Ovis aries: one gene and its partner. The protein of the gene in region 2 binds, or shares a complex with, the protein of the main gene of each other region. Links are inferred from orthologs where the notes say so. Each region holds a gene or a part of one and is shown on either strand. Other genes may lie near its edges.

Region 1 (10,928 bases), on a different chromosome or scaffold from region 2:
GTTACAAGATGGAAGTGCTGGCTGGGTTAAGCACACAAAAGAATGCAGCTGACTTGACTTAGTGTTAACCTAGGTTTCTGGATTTGAAACTGACCACCTCCTCACCCTACTCCCCACACCTAAAACTGTTTTCTTATCAGACCAAAGAGCAAAGAAGGAAAAAAAAAATGAAACACTTTACCAATCTATGTCACTCAGGTACAATTTTGTGGTGATATTTTTGTCTTTTTTTTTTTTTTGTATTGCTCTTAAGAGTCCTTTCTCAGCATATTATTCTGCTCTTGCCTCTGTCTTCCTTGGGGCACCTCAGTTCTGGATGCTACTCCTGGGATCTCTACTGCTGTTACGTGAATGATAAGACGTAAGTGACCATTACAGTAAGGGCTCTTTGTAAAAAATTTTAAAAAATGTTTTTAAAAATTAAAAAAGTACATTGTATACATTTTATAGTCTGGCTATCAATTTGATATTTTGCTGTCAAGTATGTTTCTCAATCTGTATTTATCCATCCCATCAATAAATGTTAAACACTCATCTGATGATCATTTATGTGTGCTGAGTCTTCAAGTTAGTCTTTACCTGTCATTTCATTGATACAATAATAGTTGTCTTAGTTTTGGTAGTATAGTATGTACTTTCTTACTGCACAGGATCCTGTGGGAATTGAGTTCAGTGGGAATACCTAAGATTTGATCATCACAGGGAAGCTAACAGTGTAAGTATGATGTGGCTGAGGGGAGAAAGCCCTCATTCTACACTGTCATGTGGATACCTGGAAGGATGCCTGGCACACAGAGAAACAGACAGCTCTAACAGAAGATAGCAACATGTACTGCTTATTTAGTGAGCACTCTCAGTGATTCATACTTGTATATTTGGTTCTTTGAAAAAATCTGAAATGTTGGTATAGACAGCAGTGCTTTTAATAAGAAAAAAAATTAATAGCCTCTGATAGTGAATACTCACCCTTTTCCTGGGAAATAATAAAGTCACACACACAAGGTAATTCTTGTAAATTATACATTTAAATGGAAAGAATTTTTAGGCTATAATGCTTAAAATTATTTTTTTTAAAAAGTTAGAAGTAGCTCTAGTTTAAAAGCTCTAAAAGGAAAGATAAATTTAACAGTGTTAAACACTTCTTTTAAAAAAAAATCGAGTTCTGTGCATTTCTTCTTCCATTTTCTGAAATACTACAAGAACATTTTTGTTGGTGGTGCCCCTCCTAAAACTTTAGTGATAAAGTTACTGATATTTTAGGAATATTGGTCTGACTTAAATGGAAGAACAGAGAAGTAGTAAATGAACAGTGTGAGAATGGATATAAATTTATTATAAAGTCATACATTTAGTGATTTGCTTTTGTTAGATATCAGCTGTTTCATCCTTGGGAATAGATGAGGTATAAATCAATATAAAGTTCCAAACAGCTGGATCCCTAGTTACAGAGGTTTGTTAAACTAACTGGTATAGGGTTAGGGTTCAGTGCCTAAATCATCCTGGTCTCTGATGCTTTTGAAAACCAGTAAGATTGGCTTGATCTCTATCATTCAACATTCTGTAGAAAGTCTGAAGCCCTCTCTATGACTTCTGTGGATTCCCTTAGAGGCTTGTATTTATTGTAATCTCTAGCTCTGGGGCTACTTCTGTTGAATTCATTCAGTTTGTGGATTGTCACTTGTCTTGTGCTACCTTTTTTGCACTGTGGAATCTTGACCCTTTTCTTGATTCACATAACACTCAAAACCAAAGAACCCCAGTGATGAAAACAAGTTAAAACTGAAAGCTAGATTACATCTTTTCTGGAAAGTAGTTTTAGGCACTCCCTTGCTTTTCATTTATTCCTTAGTTAGAATATAGTATTTACTGAGTACTATATACCATTTACTGATGGCAGTAAACAAAGCAAGCATCTTGCCCTCATACAACTTACATTCTAGTTGAAGAGACAAAACATGCTAGATGATAAGTACTTTGGAGAATGTAAAGCAGGGAAGGAGAGGGATTTCATATGTGTGGGTAAGATTGTTGAAATTGGAAATAAGATGGCTAGGGAGGAAGGCCTTATGAAATTACAGTTCATCAAAGACCTGAAGAGGTGAGAGCAAGCCACAGGAATATTTGTAAGATGATTCTATGTTGCAAAGTTTGTGAGGTGAGAAGATAGTGGCATGTTTGAGAAAGAGCAGAGGCCAGTGGGGCTAGTTACAGAATTGACTGAGGAAGATGGTAAGTAGTAGGATAATGTGGTTATAGAAGCAGCAGAAGACTAGATAAAGTAGGGCCTTGTAAGCCATTATAAAGACAGTGAAATGGAGCGCTATTGACAAGTGTTGAGAGGTGACATGATCTAGCTTGGGTTTTAAAGTATTCATTTGATGGGGAATTCCCTGGTGGTGCAACGGTTAGGACTTTCACTGCCAAGGGTCCAGGTTCAGTCTCAGGTCAGGGAACTAAGATTGTGAGCTGCTGGAAGCTGTGAGGCGTGGATCCCCACCCCACCCCCAAAATATTCATTTGGCTGCTGTGTTGAAAGTGGACTACAGGAAGTCAAAGGTAAGGACACTCACAGTAATTAAGGTACAGGATGAAAGTGGCTTGGACCAGGTTGGAAGTGCTGAAGGTAACAAGAAGTACATATCTTGAAATTGGAGCCGGTAGGATCTGCTGTATGGAGAAGGACATGGCAACCCACTCCACTGTTCTTGCCTGGAGAATCCCAGGGATGGGGGAGCCTGGTGGGCTGCTGTCTATGGGGTTGCATAGAGTCGAACATGACTGAAGTGACTTACCAGGTTTGAAGAGAAATCAAGGATGACTTCCAGTGTTTGGCCTGATAAGCTGGAGGAAAATAGATGAGAGTGACTATAAAAAGTACAGGATTTTAGCACTCATTTATCCTCCTCCCCCTCCAACGCTCACTTCCTCTAGGATTAGCCCCCAAAACTCCAAATTAAAAATACCCTTCAATTCATCTTTCCTAACCTCTATGAACAGCCTCAGGTCTACTTGAACCTGTTCAGTAGCTAACAAAGTTCTCCTCGGATTAAAAACAGCCATCTACTTTGATAAAAAGCAGAAAGAATTTGCCAATATCTTGATCATTTAATAATCTCTATCCCTCCTCAACTTAGAAGTGGTTCTAAATAGCATATTTTGTCTTCTCAAGTTTAGTAGGATTTCACAGCATTCCCCGGCTCCCACAACTAAGGCCTTCTCTAGACTCCCTAATTAAAGCCTTTGTTGCATCTCTACCTAGTCCCTAATGCCTCTTTACATTGTTCTCTATAGTAGTTTTAATTTTCCTTTTTGATATCACTGCATTTGGTTGAAGATTCCCATGTTTTCTGTAATGTGACTGCCTCTACTAGTTTTAAATTATAGGATGTTTATAACAAATCTCTGTACTTCTGAGGGTTGGAGTGTTTGCTTATGTATGTAACACAGTCCTGGTGAGATGAAATGCTTTTAACTAAAAATTCCTTAAAGGATTATAAGATTGGGATTTATCTGCCATTCTATATACCTGCGTTATTTAGCATGGAATTGTAGAGAAGCAAGGCCGCAACTAGAACTCATTTACTCAATTTTCTTAGAACTCAATTTTCTCAGTCCAAAAAGTGAAAAAAAGTGAAAGTGAACTCCCTTAGTCGTGTCAGACTCTGAGACCCCGTGGACTATAGCCTACCAGGCTCCTCTGTCCATGGAATTTTCCAGGCAAGAATACTGGGATCTTCCCGACCTAGGGATCGAGTCTGGGCCTCCCGCATTGCTGGCAGACACTTTTACCATCTGAGCCATCTGGGAAGCCCTCTCAGTCCAATGCACTTCACGAGAGAAGAAAGGGGTAAAGAATGAGTTAGTCACTCAGTTGTGTGCCACTCTTTGCTCCCCCTCTCAGCCAGGCTCCTCTTGTCCATGGGATTCTCCAGGCAAGAATACTTCAGTGGCTTGGCTTTCCTTTCTCCAGAGGATCTTCCGGACCCAGGGATGGAATCCGGGTATCCTACACTTAATGTGGATTCTCTACCGTCTGAGCCACTGGGGAAACTCAGAATAAAGGCTGGGTTCAAATTCACCTCGCCCTATTTACTAGATATGGGCCCGTTCTATTCGTAGTTTCTAACTTCTTAGGGTTCTGAAAATTAAAAGTTTATATGTGTAATTTCCTAGGCTCAGTAAATACTTGAAAAAAATGTTTCCACAAATGAAGTGTTCACGAAAAAAAACTAAAGCCTTTTCCTGTATAGACAATGAGAGTCAAATGTACAGTGATTCTTTGGCCTCTACATGTCGATTTTGTTGTACCGACTATGTAGGGGTGGTGAAATAGCTGCAGCCTAAGATCACACACAGAGCGCCCCAAATCCGCCTGGACATCAGCTACGGTCGGAAATGTAAAGAGCTGTCCCCGCCGACCCACAACCCACGCTCCCTCCGCCTCACTCTCTCCAGAGCTGAGTTGCTGACAGACACCTCATCTAGCCACCCAGCCTCGCCGTTTCCCAGCGCCCCGCCCCCTGAACTCTATAGATAGCCAATGGTGACACAGAGTCGTAGGCTCAGTATCCAATCAGTGGCTGGGAGCCCGGAAAGGCATGGTTAGAAGTGGCTGGCGCTGCCAGAAAGCGAGTGGCGCGGCTCAGCGGCAGAGGTAAGATGGCGGCTGTGCTTGCTCCTCGGTTTTGGAGTTAGGCTGCTGCTTCGCCCCTTCTGTTTGTTCCGAGCTGCTACTCTGTCTCAGTCAGCGTCAGGGGCGCTTTACTCCTCTTGGCTTCCAGGACCCAGATTCGCCTGTGCTTGGAGTCTTAGGACAAAATGGCGCTTGCACTGGCCTCCGAGGATGGGCAGGGCCCAGCGTTCAGCTTTGAGGCGGGCCGGGACAAAGGCGGCATGCGAGGAGGCGGAGGCCAGGGGTGGGGCGGGTGGGTCTGCGGCGTTGCGCCGCGGCGTGCGGCAGGAGCTGGCGCTTCCGCCTCTTGCTGCTTCTCCCTCGTGTGGCGACCGTGCGAGCCCTTGAGATACTTTCAACGTGGCTGTGGTCGGAGTTGGGGGAGGGCTTGGACAGAGAAGTTGAGATGAGGCAAATTCAGTAATATCTTGGTAGACTTGGGCGGAAGGCAGTTAAGGAGCGTGACTTCGGCCTGGCGTTTTAGAAGCCGCGCGCAGTCTGCCCGGGTATTGTGGAGCTGGGCTTTTCGGGAAGGTTAAAGGCTTTTTGATCTTTGTGCAGCCCTGCAGGTTTTGGTATGAACAGGATTCGGATTCACGTCTTGCCGACCAATCGGGGGAGGATCACCCCAGTGCCCAGATCTCAGGAGCCCCTGTCTTGTTCGTTTACTCATCGTCCATGTTCGCAACCTCGTCTGGAGGGGCAGGAATTTTGCATTAAGCATATCCTTGAAGACAAGAATGCGCCTTTCAAGCAGTGTAGTTATATATCGACGAAGAACGGAAAAAGATGTCCCAGTGCTGCCCCAAAGCCTGAGAAGAAAGATGGGTATGTGTGTGTATATATATATATATAGAGAGAGAGAGACAGACAGACAGACAGACAGATAGATAGATACTGTCGTATGTACTTTTAGTTTTTAAGTGAGAGGAAGATGTGCCAGGATGTGGCCTTGGAAAAAGTCGCCAAGTTTTTTAGGCCACGTGTTTGTAAAATTGAAGTTACGGGTATATCCTTGGAAAATTTTTTAAAATGGTGAAAACGAAGAGACATCTCCTAGTTGGGCCGTTTTATTATCTCTTTGGCAATTTTACCTTGTGAAGGTTTCTCAGTCGTGTCCCACTCTGCGACCCCGTGGACCATACAGTCCATGGGATTTTCCAGGCCAGGATACTAGAGTGGGTAAGCCTTTCCCTTCTCGAAGGGATCTTCCCAACCCAGGGATCGAACCCAGGTCTGCGGCATTGCAGGCAGATTCTTTACCAGCTGAGCCACCAGGGAAGCCCTGTAAAATAAATTCTTAAGCCTAGGTTCCATGGCTCTTTTGGCTGTCCTTGAATCTTAGGTAATGCAAAATTGTATACATGTGTATTTTTTTTAGGAAAAGATTTCATCATTTAAACTATCCATGCACAAATAATTTGGCTAGATAATTCTGCATTGTGTCCCACATCTTACTACCTACAATGGATTGATTTTGAAGTGTTATAAAATGTAAAATTGCCTCCCAGAACCAATTTTGAGAGATGAAAGTGGATCAGTGTGACTTGTTGCAAAATGATACCAGCATTTTTATAGTTGGAATATTTCCTTAGATGGATAGATCACTGGAATATGTTAACCTGCATTTCCCTTCAGTAATACCAAATGAGTTGACCTTGCCCGTTAAATTACTCTGCCTCACTAGCATTTTTAGTCTATAAATGAAGATAATAGTCATTTTGATTGCCTGAAAATGATCTAAAGATCACTGTCTGTGGAAATCACTGAACTCTTGTAAGAGGGAGCATGAGTATGAAACGTTAATATTTTGTCTCCTTAGGGTATCCTTCTGTGCTGAACATGCTCGGAGAAACGCCCTGGCACTTCATGCGCAAATGAAAAAGACTAATCCAGGGCCTGTGGGTGAAACACTCTTGTGCCAGCTGAGCTCGTACGCTAAGACAGAGCTGGGGTCTCAGACTCCAGAAAGTAGCCGCAGTGAAGCCAGCCGAATTCTGGGTGAGGATCTTCTTTCTCATAATGAAAAAACAGGAAGAAAGTTAACAAAGAACTTTGGTTTATCTCAATGCCTTGAACATATGTGGCACTTGAAAGTACAATATTATTATTAATTCATTGCCAGTTTGGGAGAATTCAGGACTGCTGCTGTTCACCAGTCTTTTTGGTTTTAATTAGTGTGTGCTTAGGTTTACTTTATCCTGAGTTTATGACTCTTTCAGTGCTGTTTTTATACTTTACTTTGTTAGGTAAGATAATTTCAGGAAACAGAATAATTTTGAGTTGACCTTTCTGTCTTTTTGAGGCTATGGTTAACTCATTTGTGTTATAAGTACTTATACTCAGGAAGTATATTTCTTTGCCAGTGCTTCTGTATTAAGCATTTTTAATTTTAAGATTTGGATTGGTGTGTTAAGTAATCTAGTTTTGTGTGGTGGAGTTACAGAGGTGGGAAGTCTTAATGGCTGCTCTCCCTTCCTTGCCTCAGATGAAGACAGCTGGAGTGATGGGGAGCAGGAACCCATTACTGTGGATCAGACATGGAGAGGTGACCCTGACAGTGAAGCTGATAGCATAGACAGTGATCAAGAAGATCCCCTAAAGTAAGTTGTAACTCCACATAGGGCTTTAACATATTTTAGAAGGTAGTATGTGGATTGTAGTACTGCATGCTGTTAATAGATTAATAAGCTAGGAGGGTTGAAGATAGCTTAGCTATTTGTGAGCAGTAATAGCTTCTGCATATTGAAGTGTCATTATTCATCACCATCTTGCCTCAGAGTAGGAGTCAATTCTTTTTTTAGAAGTCTTGTAATTTGGGAAAATTTTTGGATATCAAATTCTACATGTGAGAAAATGCAGGGGGGAAATAGATTTATTGGACATAGGAGTTGAGAGGTGGGTAGAGATCAGAGAAGAGTGATGAAAATTTGTGCTTGACTTAAACCTCAGGAATGAAAAACTGATTATATTTGAGTAACAACTTTTTTACCCCCAAAGTTCTGATTAATTTATATTTTATTTACCTTTATATGTTTAAGAAAAATTAAAAGGTGTTTAAGAGCTTCCTTTGGTTTCATGCCTAAGAAAGAGAAACTGATTTAGAAACCTAGGAGTAATTGTCCTAATTACATCTTACTAAGGTTCTGCTCTTTACCTAACCCACGATCGCTTTGGAGTTACAGAACATTGCCACCCAGAAGTCTAATGTTTCTGTGTCTCATAGTTTGGGTTTAGTTTTTGTTTTTTCCTGACTTCTATCTCTTGATACTTCCCGCTGACAGTTTAGGTGGAAGAACTCTTAAATAGTGGGAGGGGTGATGCATTTCTAGACTTGACTGTGTTTGACAAATTCTTAGAATAGCATCTTCTTCATTCCTTGGATTCTGAACTTTATAAGAAGTCATTTAGGGTTCTATTTTCTGAGTAGAATAGTTTCATCTATTTTAAGTAATCTGAATTTAGAGAGCTATTCAGGAACTACTTGTTTGGAAAGTCCATGTAAGTAGTTTGAGAAGAAATGCTTGTTTCTAGCAGGATATTTTCACAGTAGAAACTTTATACTAAGCCACAGATAGATAGATAGATATAGATATTATATATATATATATATGGATGTGGATATAGATGTAATTTATATAGTTACATTGTGCTTCTGGAAATGCCATACTTGATTGTTTAAGTGATTGTCTTTGGGTGTGGTAAACACTCAGTTTGTAAGGTCCAGAAACTTTATTTTGTCTCTGCTAATCTAGAGTGGGTCAGTCTTCACTGATCTACATTTACGCTAACCTGACTTACATACAGGAGATCGGTGGTTTAGTCGCTAAGTCGTGTCCAACTCTTGCGACCCCATGGACTGTAGCCCGCCAAGTTCCTCTGTCCGTGGAATTCTTCAGGCACGAATACTGGATCTCCTGCATTGCAGGCAGATTGTTTACCGACTGAGCTAGGAGGGAAGCCCTTACAGGAGATTGTTACATGAAACAAAATACCAGTTAATTTTATGAGAAATAATAAGTGGTAAAAGGGCTAGATGTCAGTTTCCCCTGAAAGGAACAAAGGGCAAAAACAATTTAACACAATATAATAAGTGATTCCCTTTTTTGAAATTGGTCTAATAATAAACCTAGACTTATAGTTGTGCGTATCAGAGCAAGAAGAGTTAGTACATGATTTTTAAAATTAAAACTAGCTATGAATATTTGTGGCTCTATCTTTAAATAAATGACGCATTTGTCACATGATAGGCATTTACCTCGGAGAAGGCAATGGCACCCCGCTCCAGTACTCTTGCCTGGAAAATCCCATGGACGGAGGAGCCTGGTAGGCTGCAGTCCATGGAGTCGCTAAGAGTCAGACACGACTGAGTGACTTTCCTTTCCCTTTTCACCTTCATGCATTGGAGAAGGAAATGGCAACCCACTCCAGTGTTCTTGCCTGGAGAATCCCAGGGACGGGGGAGCCTGGTGGGCTTCTGTCTATAGGGTCGCACAGAGTCGGACACGACTGAAGCGACTTAGCAGCAGCAGTAGGCATTTACCTTAGTTAGGATGCTCATCTGCCTCCCCAAATGATTTGTTGTAAATTGTAGTCCCCAGTTAAATTCTCTTCTGAGGGTACAATGAAATTAATTTCATTCTAACAAATGATGTTAGGTTAAGGCCTCAATATTTTAGGGATTCAGGCATTAATGCAGATATGCCCCATTTTCTTGAATATGAATAACCTCATCACCTTGTTTAAACATTAGATAGTTTTGAAATTTTCACATTTTCTGAATCTTAGATTTTGCTGTTTTTATAATTTCAGAGTACTTTGTAGTTGTACTTTTCTTATACACAGGTATTATCTCCTGTTTATATATAAGAAAAGTTTTTGGCAGAGATTATTTGCTCTCAGTCCTAAAGTTAATAGTTTTATTCTGTGTATTTCAGTGATTTAAGAGTTAAATTTTAAAGAGCACATACTTTTTGGATTTAAAATTAGTATATAGTTCATGTATATTTTGCCTTTTAAATAATAGAAATAATTTTTACTAGATCAAAGTAGGAGAGTATCAAGTCAAGGTATATATCTAGCTGTTTTTCTTTTCTAGAATAAGGTTTTTTTTTTTTAAGTTTTGTTAATTCATAGTTGGTGGCAAAGCTTAATAAAGTTGATCTAGGTCTTTGGCAATTAAGGGTTTCTCCAGGGTACTATATTTTCAGAATATTGTCAAGAGAATGAGCTGAGGACATTGACTAGCCATTGGGATCAGTGTTTTGAGGGCTGGTATAAACTCCGAAATACAAGTGTAGCTTATTTTTATTTATTTATTTTTGGCTATGCTTTGTGGCTTATGGGATCTTAGTTGCCTGAACAGGGATTGATTCCAGGCCTTTCAGCAGTGAGAGCGTAGAACCCTAACCACTGGACCACCAATTAAAAGTGTACTTTTAAATTAGAAGTTGTAATTGTTTGTGATCTTTTGTACTTTAATTAAAATATATTGAGATACATGCTACTAAATTAACACTTTAATTTACTGGTAAGTGATTTTTTCTGTATTAAATTATTAAAGGGAACAAGACTAGATTAATAGAAGTTTTGAGTGTTCTGTATCTTTACTCCTGTTTAAACATAATGGAAATAACTGGAGAGCATAATGAAATGTTTTTCCTTATCCACATTTTGAGATCATACATTAGTATCCATTCTTGGGTAGTTTGTTTTTTAATGACAATAATAAAATTCTGTGAAAACATTTTTATTTAGTAAGGTGATTATCTTAGCACTGACTGCTTGTTGAATAGCAAACCTAAGTCTAACCTTTACTCTTTGCTCCTTTTAAGCTTGGGTCTTATTGTTGTGCCTTCTTATCCTTTTTGAATCATCTTATTCTAGACATGCTGGTGTCTATACAGCAGAAGAAGTGGCCCTGATTATGCGTGAGAAGCTTATTCGTTTGCAATCTTTGTACATTGATCAGTTTAAACGACTTCAGCATCTGCTCAAAGAGAAGAAGCGACGTTACTTACACAATCGCAAAGTGGAACATGAAGCTCTAGGCAAGTTTTATGCCAGTTCCAACAACCTGTCATGGGTTTAATCAACATGTAAATTTGGTAGTTAGACTTACTTCTTTTTTGTTACCTGGAGTGGAGAAGGATTTGCTTCTGAAACTGTTTGAAGATGCATCCTTGGTTGCTTGGCAGATAACATCTTGACTGTTTTGACTTTCCAGGTAGTAGTCTCCTGACTGGCCCAGAGGGAC
Region 2 (10,329 bases):
CTGCTGCACCTTGCCCAGGTCCGTCAGCAGCTGCTTGATGCAATGCTTGAGCTGCGGAAGCCTGGCCAGAGGCTCTGGGGGCTCCAGTTCCCCAGTGTAGTCCAGCCAGCTCTCCAACACTGTGGGCAGAAGAGAGACAGGACCCGGTGAGTTCCCAACACTTGATTTGCAAGAATGTCAGCATTTTATCTCATCTGACCACTAACCGGGGGTGGGGGAGCAGCCGGGAGGGGAGACCATTTCAGGCAACACTGACTCATCACCCTCTCTGGGAAGTACTACTCCTCAGACAAAGTTAAATGCTGCAGAGCAGTGCCATCTAATAGAAGTTTCTGTGATGATGGAAATGGGCTATGTCTGTGTTGTCTAATACCCCCACTACCCATATGTAGCTACTGAGCACTTAAAACATGGCAAACGCAACTGAGAAACTGAATTTAAATTTTATTCAATTAGCCACACATAGCTAATGACTACTGCATTAGTCTATAGAGTAGTAGGCTTTGAAATACCCACCTTTCTCAGTGTTACTGCCCCACCTTCATAGTGAAAGTGAAGTCGCTCAGTCGTGTCCGACTCTCTGTGACCCCATAGACTGTAGCCCACCACAGACTAGCCTACAGGCTTCTCCATCCATGGGATTTTCCAGGCAAGAGTACCTTCATAAGGCTTTCCCATATTGAAAATCAGAGAGCCTGGTGTGTTAGCCTTCTGTTAAGAAAAGTGACTCTAACAGGACTTGGAAAGGTCTATTTTTATCTCCATAAATTGATTTGTTTCATGCTGATTCCTAGCATGAGTAGCACTGAATACTCTGATTTCATTTGCTAAATGTTTAATGTAAGATGACCAGGTAATAAGTTTCCCAGGTGGTCCAATGGTAAAGAATCCACCTGCCAGTGCAGGAGGCAAAGGAGATGCAGGTTTGCTCTTTGGGTCGGGCAGATCACCTAGAGGAGGAAATAGCAACCCACTCCACTATGCTTGCCTGGGAAATCCCATGGACAGGAGTTTGGCGGGCTATAGTCTATGGGGTCACAAAGAGCTGGACACTACTGAGCACAACCAGGTAATAACCAGTTGATTATCATTAGCTCAATATCTAAAAAGCTGTCTTGCTTCTGAGAGTATGATTTTTCTATAGAAAGACATTTATTCTTTCCCAAGCCACTCCCTTAAGCTCTGGCGTTTGGGGAGAGGTCATCCAGGAACCCTGATTCTTTAACAAGAGCCACCTCCACCCCGCCCCCCACAGGCAGGCCTGAGGTTTGCCCCAGCTTGCCTGTAGTCTTTCTAGTCTGTGCACCAACCTGTACTGAGAACTTTCTGGACCCTCAAGCCAGAGGTGCAGAAAGAAGAAGACCATGCAGGGCCTGTTCCTCAAGCAGTCTGCAGCCTTGCACATACTCCTCTGCCCTCTTCAGACCAGTCCTTCATCTTCCTTCCCACATTTCTAAACCCTTTGTCCCCTGCAAGCTATTTCTCAGGGAACCCCACCCCCTCTATAACCTGAGTCCGGTCCTTGAGTCACAGGTGCTATGCTATCACTTGCTCTCCTTTGGAGCACTTATCCTGGTTTGTAATTTAAAATAATAGGATGGGGCTGCCCTGGTGGTGCAGTGATTGAGAATTTACCGTGCAGTGCAGGGGATCCCAGTTCCATCCCTGGTTCAGGAAAATCCTACATGCCACAGGGCAGCTAAGGCTGCGTGCCACAACTACTGGCTGTGCTCTAGAGCTTGGAGCCACAACAGCGCCCACACGCTGCAGCTACTAAAACCCCAGCACCCTAGAGCCCCTGCTCCGCAACAAGAGAAGCCATCGCAAGTGCTGAGCCTGTGTGTGTGCACTCAGCTGCTGTTGTGTCTGACTCTATGTGACCCCATGGACTGCAGTCCACCAGGCTCCTCTGTCCAGGGAATTTTCCAGGCAAGAATACTGGAGTGGGTTGCTGTACCCTCCTCCAGGGGAATCTTTCCAACCCAGGGATAAAATCCATGTCTTTTATGTCTTCCTACACTGGCAAGCAGGTTCTTTACCACTAAGACACCTGGGAAGCTCACAATTGCTGAGAGGCCCCTGCTAAAGCCACTAGAACTACCTCAGATCTGGTTCAGGCTCACCCAAGGTGTCCCCCGACACCTTGGTGACCCAGTAGGCACACACAGGGAGAAAGAAACAATCAGTGTGCAGACTAGAAGAGTCTAGCCCAGAGGTCCCCAAACTTTTGGCACCAGGGACCAGCTTGGTGGAATACAATTTTTCCATGGACAGGGGTGGTGAGGGGGGCAGATTTCAGGATGATTTAAGCGCATTACACTTATTGTACACTATTTCAAATCTAATGCTGCCCTGATCTGACAGGAGGTACCACCAGTCTGAGGCCCAGAGGTTGGGGACCCATGGTCTAGGCCACTCATAGTCTATGAACTTGGTTAGGAGGAGTGTTTGGAGCTGCTAAGGGGGAAGTCTTCTCTCTAGATATGCAGAAATGAAGACCAGACACATAACTGTGGGAGCCAACAGCACCTCCTCTGGACCCCAGCATCTAGCCTGCTGGCCTTCTCTCCACACCAGGTGCTGGTCCATAACCCCAAGTTTTTCTTTTAAGGAAGCTCAATGGTATATGACTGCAACCAAGGCAGAAGGTTATAAGAATAAAGTTTCATTTCAAACATATTCCCCCATACCATCTAGATAGAGACTGTCTAGATAAGATAACATTAAAAAAAAAAAATCTAATGCTAAAATATTGTTTTCATGCTCATTAAATATCTTTATCTTTTAGTTTTATAAGACTGTTCACACACTACATAAGTTATTAAATAATGGTTAAATACTCAAACAATGACATTTGTTAAAGTGTAATCAGTCAATATAACGGCTTATTAGATTTTTAAAAAGAAATATTATATACAAATTCCTATAAAAGCTCAGTTCATCTTGAGGTATTTAGATGAAATGAAGATAGTAGAAATAAAATGGGATTTTGAAGAATCTTAAATACAACGCAAAATCGGTTTACGTGAGTAAAATCTTTAAACTTAAAATTGATTTTCTTGCTTCCGGTACCTCTCAGGGCCTGGAATTGAAGAATACAAGACGGAGTATGTGGCCCCAAATGAGTAAGACACATAAAGAGCCCTCTGAAAGCCCAGAGAAGGGAGCTCAGGCTTCTCATCCTGGCCTGGCCACACTGTCCTCTCAGTGAGCTCAGGGCTGGAGCAGCCCAAGCCGGGAGGGAGGGGGTACATCAGTGATTAAGTAGGTAGGCTCTGGCCTCTCCCCTGGGGCCGCTTCCTTTGGCAACAACAGAACCTTTGTCCTGTTTCTACGGTGCCTGAGCTTCTTCTTGGGGACCCAGAGTCAATTCCACAATTTTCAGTCCATCATTGGACACTCTTTCAGCTTTCTACCAGCAAGGTTTTCCATAGACCTGGTATCTGTTATAGTTCTAAGGAGCTCAAGGAAACCTTTTAGGAGTAAAGAGAGAGAGAAACACTCTAGCTTTCAGCAACACCCTCACAATGGACCCTGGACTGGCCTGCCGTCCCCAGTTCAGCAGGTTTGCCTCTGGGGCAGGCCAGGAAGCGTGTGGGCACATTAGTCTTTGTCCTCCAACAGGGCCATCCCTTTCCCAGTCAGCCACCTCTTAGCATCCTGCCTCAGTCACCCCTCCTGTAGCAAGAAACACAGCTCTCTCCAAGGCTCCACTTCAGTCCCTGGAGCTCCAGGAAGCCTTCCTGTTCTCGCTTCCCCTCTTGATAGCTGTCCTTCTCTAGCCTGACCTCACCCACACCCTCTGACCTTTGCTTACATAACACATGGCATTTTTCTTATGAGTTATTTCATCCCCAATTATAGTAATAATAGCCTAGCTATCCTCAGAATCCGCAAACGAAACATTTATTTCTTAATCAGCCTTCTTTCTAAGATGAAATAATAATAATAATTAGGAAATAAGAGAACAAGAAAGAGGAAGTCTGCCTTCAAAAACCAAACTGACAACACCCTGGGGATCAACATTTCAGTCCTCCAAGCCCATCTGATAACTTAACATCAGGGAGATATATCTGGGGGGAACATAAGTGACTCAAGTTCTAAAATATCTGCTGATAAAGAGGAGAAGGCTTCGTTTTAGATTTTAGGAAAGGCTGAAAAGAAGGGGTTTTCAGATTAATCCTCAGACATCCTAAAAGCTCAAAGCATCCAAGTATCAGCTCCCCACAGAACTCGGTCAGTAAAGACCTGCTCAGGACACACACCGCCCACAGGCAGAGCCCAGCTGTTCCACTGTGCTCTCTCCTGGGCAGAAGGGACTGGGAGAGTGAGGCTGGACCCCTGACAGCACACAGCCCTTAGAAGTGCCCAGTCGATACTGAAAGTCAGGCTTGGCCATCTTGAGGGGAGAATGGAGATGAGGGGACTAATAGAAGAGGCAATAACATAGCTATCCCTGGAAACCCAAATCAAAGGGTTCAGAAAGCAGCTCTTCCTATTGGCCCACAGAGCCTGCCAAGGACAGGGAGACCAGGAGGGAGCCCTACCATCCAGCTCCTTCTCAATGGAGTCCATCCTGTGCGTGACTTCATCCTGAAGGGATTCCACGTGTGTCAGCAGGTTAAACTGCCACTGGTGCTGGGAACTCAGCAACCCCTCTCCACCTCTGTCCAGCAGCTTCCGGGCAGGGGCTTCCTCAGGTAAGACCTTTTTGGAGACACAGTCCCTCACCTGGGGATGCAAGAGCATCAAAGTTACCGAATGGAGACAGTTCCCAGCCTCTTTTTCCAACCAGCGAGTGTTTGCACCCATTTGAGAACCCAGCTGCAGTTCGAGTAGTCCAAATCGCTACCTCCCCGCCCCCCTCCTCCTCTCTCAGGCACCAGGCAGAAGCGGGCCTGCCGTACCAAGAACAACTGCCTCAGGGCTGTGCAGACCTCTGGCTTGGAGGCTCCCCAACTGCTTCCCAATGAATGCCAATGCCTAAGGGCTGAAGCAGGCCTCAAAGAACCGCTTCCTGAAACCTGGGATCAGAGTAGAGCAGGGTAAGTGTGGATGAGTGTTAGTATGTGGGTGCTCATATGTAGACAAACAAATTTTAAGTCCTAGTTCCATGTCTTGCTGAACGCATGCACCTGGATGAGTTACTTCACTTCTCTGGGCCTCTATTCCCTCATGGGAAAGAAGAAGTAGTAAAACCTACTTTAAAAGTTCATGAGGATCAAATAGGATAATGTGAATAAAACACAGTGCTGGCTTGTGGTCAACCTGCCAGTCATGAAAGAGATTTTTAACTCTACCTGCCTGGTTTAGGCCCAGGACTTCTTGATTTTTTTCATCATGTTCCAGGTGCCTCTAGGCAATTTGCATAATTTGCAAGACCACAAACTTTTTCTGGGGTTTGTGACTGCAACCCTTCATTCATTGATTGGAAATGAAATAGGTTCCAGTTAACATCTATGGAGGAGTGACTGTGTGCAGAGCCACGTGCTGAGAGCTTTTCACAGGTGTGCTGCACAGTAAACTGAGAGGTCACCATCACCAGCTTCACTTGGCAGGGGGCTAAGGAGACACCTCTGAGGAGGTGAAGGGACCTGCTCAGAGTCACACAGCAAGTGGCAGCGCCCAGACCTGAAACTGGGTCTGCCTCCAAAGACAGTCCTCACCAGCCTTACCCAGCCCTGCTTAGACCCTGGCAAGGACACAGGCTGAATGCTGAGGGGCTTCTAATCTAGGCTACTCCCCCTCGGCGAGAGGCAGCGATGGACTTAGGGTGGTGATATCAGCCCACACAGCGGAGTCTGTGACAGTTAAGTATGACGAGGGTGGGGAAGCTTTCATCACCCAAACCCTCACTGACAACTGAGGATGGGAAGAATGAGACTAGGGAACACTGGCAAGAGAACACACAGGGCTCCAGAAGAGAACGACGTGAGTAACAAGAACCTGGGAGTATCTCTTGGGAAAACTGATGAAACCAGCAAACATTTGGACAAAATGGATTGTTCTTACGCCAGGGCTGCACAGTTAAAAGTAAAGTTGTCATAGAATTGTACTGAAAAACTTACGCCTAACAAAACACTTGACTCGTTCTCTGCTCTTGCTAAGGATTAGCACCCAGATGTAATGATAAACTGCACTGAAGAAAAAAAACCCTCATTTTCCTAACTTGTTTTCATTTGTCAAGTTCAGGTCAATTACCCTTTTCTTCTGGCTGCCTCCGACCTCTCCACCCCCACCACCACTGACTCTGCCATTTTGCCGTCAGTTCCTAGAACCAATGATATTTGGGGTTTAAGTGGGCTCTTTTGACTTTGTACTCATTTTAAAAGACAAAAAAAGAATATGATAAACAGATTTATATGCAGTTTTAAAATAAACACAACTCTATCATAAACATCTTCTACTGAACATTTAGCCCTGGGAGGAGACGATACAAGATATCAAACAAGAACAAGCACAAGCGAGCCAGTACCTTTGGGGAACTGGGTTTGAGGTCACTGTCCCCTCTGCTCCTGTCTTGGTCTAGAGGCCAGCCCAAGCGCGGAGACAGGGAATCATCACCGTTCTCGTGGCGGGGGTTGACAGCATCGTCGAGGGCAGAGCGCCGGGTCTCCACCACTAGCTTCTGTTCCACAGCTGGATAGTAGGTGCGGGGCTTCTGGTAGCAGTGCTCGCTGGTGATATAGGACTCCTCCACGGAGGGGGGCAGGGGCAGGGGCTTCTCCATCGCCCCGTTCAAAGTTCTATAGCTTGGGGCTTCCTCCCTGCTCTTGGCTTCAGTGACACGGATGTGTTTGGAATGAGACCGCCCCTCCGCCAGATGCTGCTTCCAAGGCTGGCACCACAGCTGCAGGTCAGGATGTCCCCGGCTTCTGTTGGGAGGGAAAATACCGAAAGGGCTCTAACCCTTCTAACCCTAACCCCTGGGACCACCGCAGGGGCTTCCTACACTAGGGGGAAGACCTCCCACCTGGGCCAAGTGGAGCAAGCCACCAAGAGGGACTGTAGATTCACAGCCTCCGAGGAGACCACTTCCAGGCAAGCTCTTGCTGGATCACTCGCAGTGAGCAGGAGTGGACTGGGAGTCAGAGGACCTGGCTGCGTTTCAGCTCAGCCGCTGATTACAGTACAGCTGAGCCGAGTCATTCTGCCAGCCTCATTCCCATTTCCTCCTCTGCAAAACTGGCTAACCCTCTGCCAGCAACCACTGAGTTTAAGTGAATTAATCTGAACCGAAGTCCAGTATTTCATTGGCAGTAAAGAGCTCTTCAAATGTGACTTACTAAAACTAAACTTAACTTAGGACTAAACAGTCATGATAACGCTGCCATGCCATGGCACTCAATTACACAAACCCAATGAATGCTTTCCTGGTGGCTCAGACAGTGAAAAATCTGCCTGCAATGAGGGAGATCTGGTTTTGAGTTCTAGGTCAGGAAGATCCCCTGGAAAAGGAAATGGCAACCCACTCCAGAATTCTTGCCTAGAGGATTCCATGGACAGAAGAGCCTGGTGGGCTGTAGTCCATGCAGTCACAAAGAACTGGACACAACTGAGCAACTAACACTTTCAGTGATGACCCAGGAGGAAGCTGGTAACCAAAAGTCACCAAGGCATAAGCCATTAATAACACGGTGTTTTGTTTTTAATATTGGCTGAGATTTATCTGTTGATCTGGCTGTGTCAGGTCTCAGTTGTGGCACTCGGTATCTCTGGTAGCAGCACACCAACTCTTTAGTTGTGGTGTGCAGGCTCCGTAGCTGCGGAGCATGGGCTCAGCTGCCCTGTGGCATGTGGGATCAGGGATCCAACCCAAATCCCCTGCATTGCAAAGTGGGTTCTTAACCACTGGACCCCCAGAGAAGCCCCTTAAAAAGAAAACAATTACTTGGCTATGCCAGGTTTTAGTGGCACCATGCAGGACATTTAGCTGTGGCATGTGGGACCCAGTTCCCTGACCAGGAATCAAACCCAGGCTCCCTGCACAGGGAACACATGGTCCTAGCCACTGGACCACCAGGGGAAGTCCCGATAGCAAGGTTTCTAAACATTCTTCAAAAATCGTCTGTTCTCCCCATTCCAAAGAGGATAATTTGTTATTAAAGAAGGACTCTCCTGGAGAAGGAAATGGCAACCCACTCCAGTACTGTTGCCTGGAAAATCCTGTGGATGGAGGAGTCTGGTAGGCCACAGTCCATGGGGTCGCAAAGAGTCGGACATGACTGAACGACTTCACTTTCACTAGATTAGGGCAAGCAATTATTTAAAAAATAAAATAAAATAAAATAAAATAAAATAAAATAAAATAAAGAAGGACTCTGCTCCCTTTCTGGCCAGCAGACACCTCTGAGAATTTCTGCCTACGTGTATATGTGTACATAAAACTGTGTATGACTATAATTATTCACTGAGATTTGACGCAAGAGATCTTTTAATTTACTGACTCATAACCACTTGTATAGAAGGAAAAATAGAACAAAAAATACCAGACTGCACCATTCTAAGAGGAGGTGTTTTGTGAAATTATAGTATGTTTTGTACATGTGATAAAAAATGTACTTCTTACTGTGGGATGTACATTTTTTGAAGTTTAAAAGCCACTACTCTAGATAAACTTCACCATTTAACATTTTGTTCACCACTCAGAACTTCCATTATAACCTTTGATCATTAAATGAAATGAAGGAGGAAAGGAAAAAAGGATAGAGGAAGAAAAACCAGGCTCCCCAAGTAAGGCAACAAGTGAGAAGACAGACAGGAGCTACTCGTGTTTGGTTCACAGATGTGCAGAAACGTGGGGACCCTGCCGACTGTCACGACTGCTAATTGTCACAGATGGACTGCTGGCACTCAGTTCATTGAATTCATGGATCCTAAATATCTTGTAACGCTTGGTACAATTCCACACATATAAAGAATTATGCCGTAATATAACTATATACATTATCCTCACCAGTCTGAGCTGAGAATCACTGAAGCCACATCAGCAGGAACTCACCAGCAACTCCCACATACAGGTCCCTCCACAACCACCAACACACACACACACACATCTTCCTGAAGCCTTCCAAAAGAAATGGAATACATCATAACTACGACAGCATGGAATGGGCTTACAGAACCTAAAATTCTGCCCATGAGGGGCTATAACTACGCTTACTCAGCCCTCCCACTCCAGCAATCCCCAGTACCACTCCCATCCACTGAAGCAGGAGAGGAGACCACCAGCATCGAGGCAGCCTGGGTCCCTGGCCACCTCCAATAGGGTACTGCAGTCTGTACCAGGACCCCAGGACCCCAGACATGCCTCTGAAATCATAATTGCAACAGAGGAAATGGAAGTCACTGTAGTCTGAAATCTGTTCACCTGGAGGGCATAAGCCATAGTATGAACCTGTTCTTGCATGAAAATCACAAAAGTCTTTGCCTCCTCCCTCCTACTATTTTCACCCTCCCGGCTAAGATCTGAAGCCTCAGCTACTGATAACCCTGGCCTTTCTCAGTAAGCCCTGTCGATCATGAAGAAGGTATGTACATTCATGCCTATTACTTTTTAAATGACAACAGATACTCTGAAGTTACACCCAGTTTACTGTTTGCCTCTGAAAATGAATCCACTGGGTTGCTTAGGAACAAAATTTTTGAGAATGAAGACTGTGCGCCTGTGATAGCAGAGACCATCCAGGTTTGCAGAGATAGGAACCACCTGCCCATCTCCCATGATCTCTTCTACCTATAATGACTAACAAGCTCTCCTGATGCTCTCTCCTGAACTGCTTGGAGAAGTCAGGTTTTAATTTCAGTACAAAGTCACTGCTACTAAGATGAAGGATCTCAACAGGAATTCGGAAGGAACAAGGTTCTGGAATATGGGACCCAGTTGGAGCACTTATATTTCCCTGAGCAGAAAGAAAAACATCTAATTGAACCCTCAAATGAAAAGAAATGCCGTGACATGTACAATCAGGATCTGAGGTTTCTGTGCACCTTCTATCTGTCTCAGTCAATTTCTGGCTTCTTATTAAGAAGAAATTCCTCTGGCTTACATGAAGTCTTCTGATTTTATAAAATGTAAGGGAACACCCAGTCCATAACATCCTAAACAGGGGCTGTCACAGTAATGGCTAACTTCCCCCAGTAACTATCCTTTCCTTCTGTTACCCACCTCCACACTCAGTCCTGGGTCTGCGCAGGGAACACAGCCACTTGGCTGGCCTCTTGCATTTAGGTGTGTCCACGAAACCATCTGTTCCCTCTCCAGGGGGTTAGAGCAGAAATGAGGTACAGGTGAGACTTCTTGGGTGAGACAGGTGAGATTAAACCCAA

The links. Proteins that work in one complex are often made in the same cells at the same time.
Region 1: PHF20 (region 2) and KANSL2 share a complex: the UniProt entries of both Homo sapiens proteins name them as parts of the NSL complex. The link is inferred for Ovis aries from reciprocal best matches to the Homo sapiens genes PHF20 and KANSL2.

Annotation. Positions count from the first base shown.
Region 1 is NC_056056.1:137,498,857-137,509,784, forward strand, and holds the start of KANSL2 (KAT8 regulatory NSL complex subunit 2), read left to right. Parts: upstream 1-4,623; 5' UTR 4,624-4,654; intron 4,655-5,233; 5' UTR 5,234-5,249; coding exon 5,250-5,500; intron 5,501-6,494; coding exon 6,495-6,673; intron 6,674-7,160; coding exon 7,161-7,275; intron 7,276-10,558; coding exon 10,559-10,726; intron 10,727-10,898; coding exon of another isoform or gene 10,899-10,902; coding exon 10,903-10,928. UniProt on the Homo sapiens protein: Non-catalytic component of the NSL histone acetyltransferase complex, a multiprotein complex that mediates histone H4 acetylation at 'Lys-5'- and 'Lys-8' (H4K5ac and H4K8ac) at transcription start sites and promotes transcription initiation.
Region 2 is NC_056066.1:65,069,185-65,079,513, reverse strand, and holds part of PHF20 (PHD finger protein 20), read right to left. Parts: intron 6,876-10,329; coding exon 6,476-6,875; intron 4,732-6,475; coding exon 4,201-4,731; 3' UTR 120-4,200; coding exon of another isoform or gene 1-119. UniProt on the Homo sapiens protein: Methyllysine-binding protein, component of the MOF histone acetyltransferase protein complex.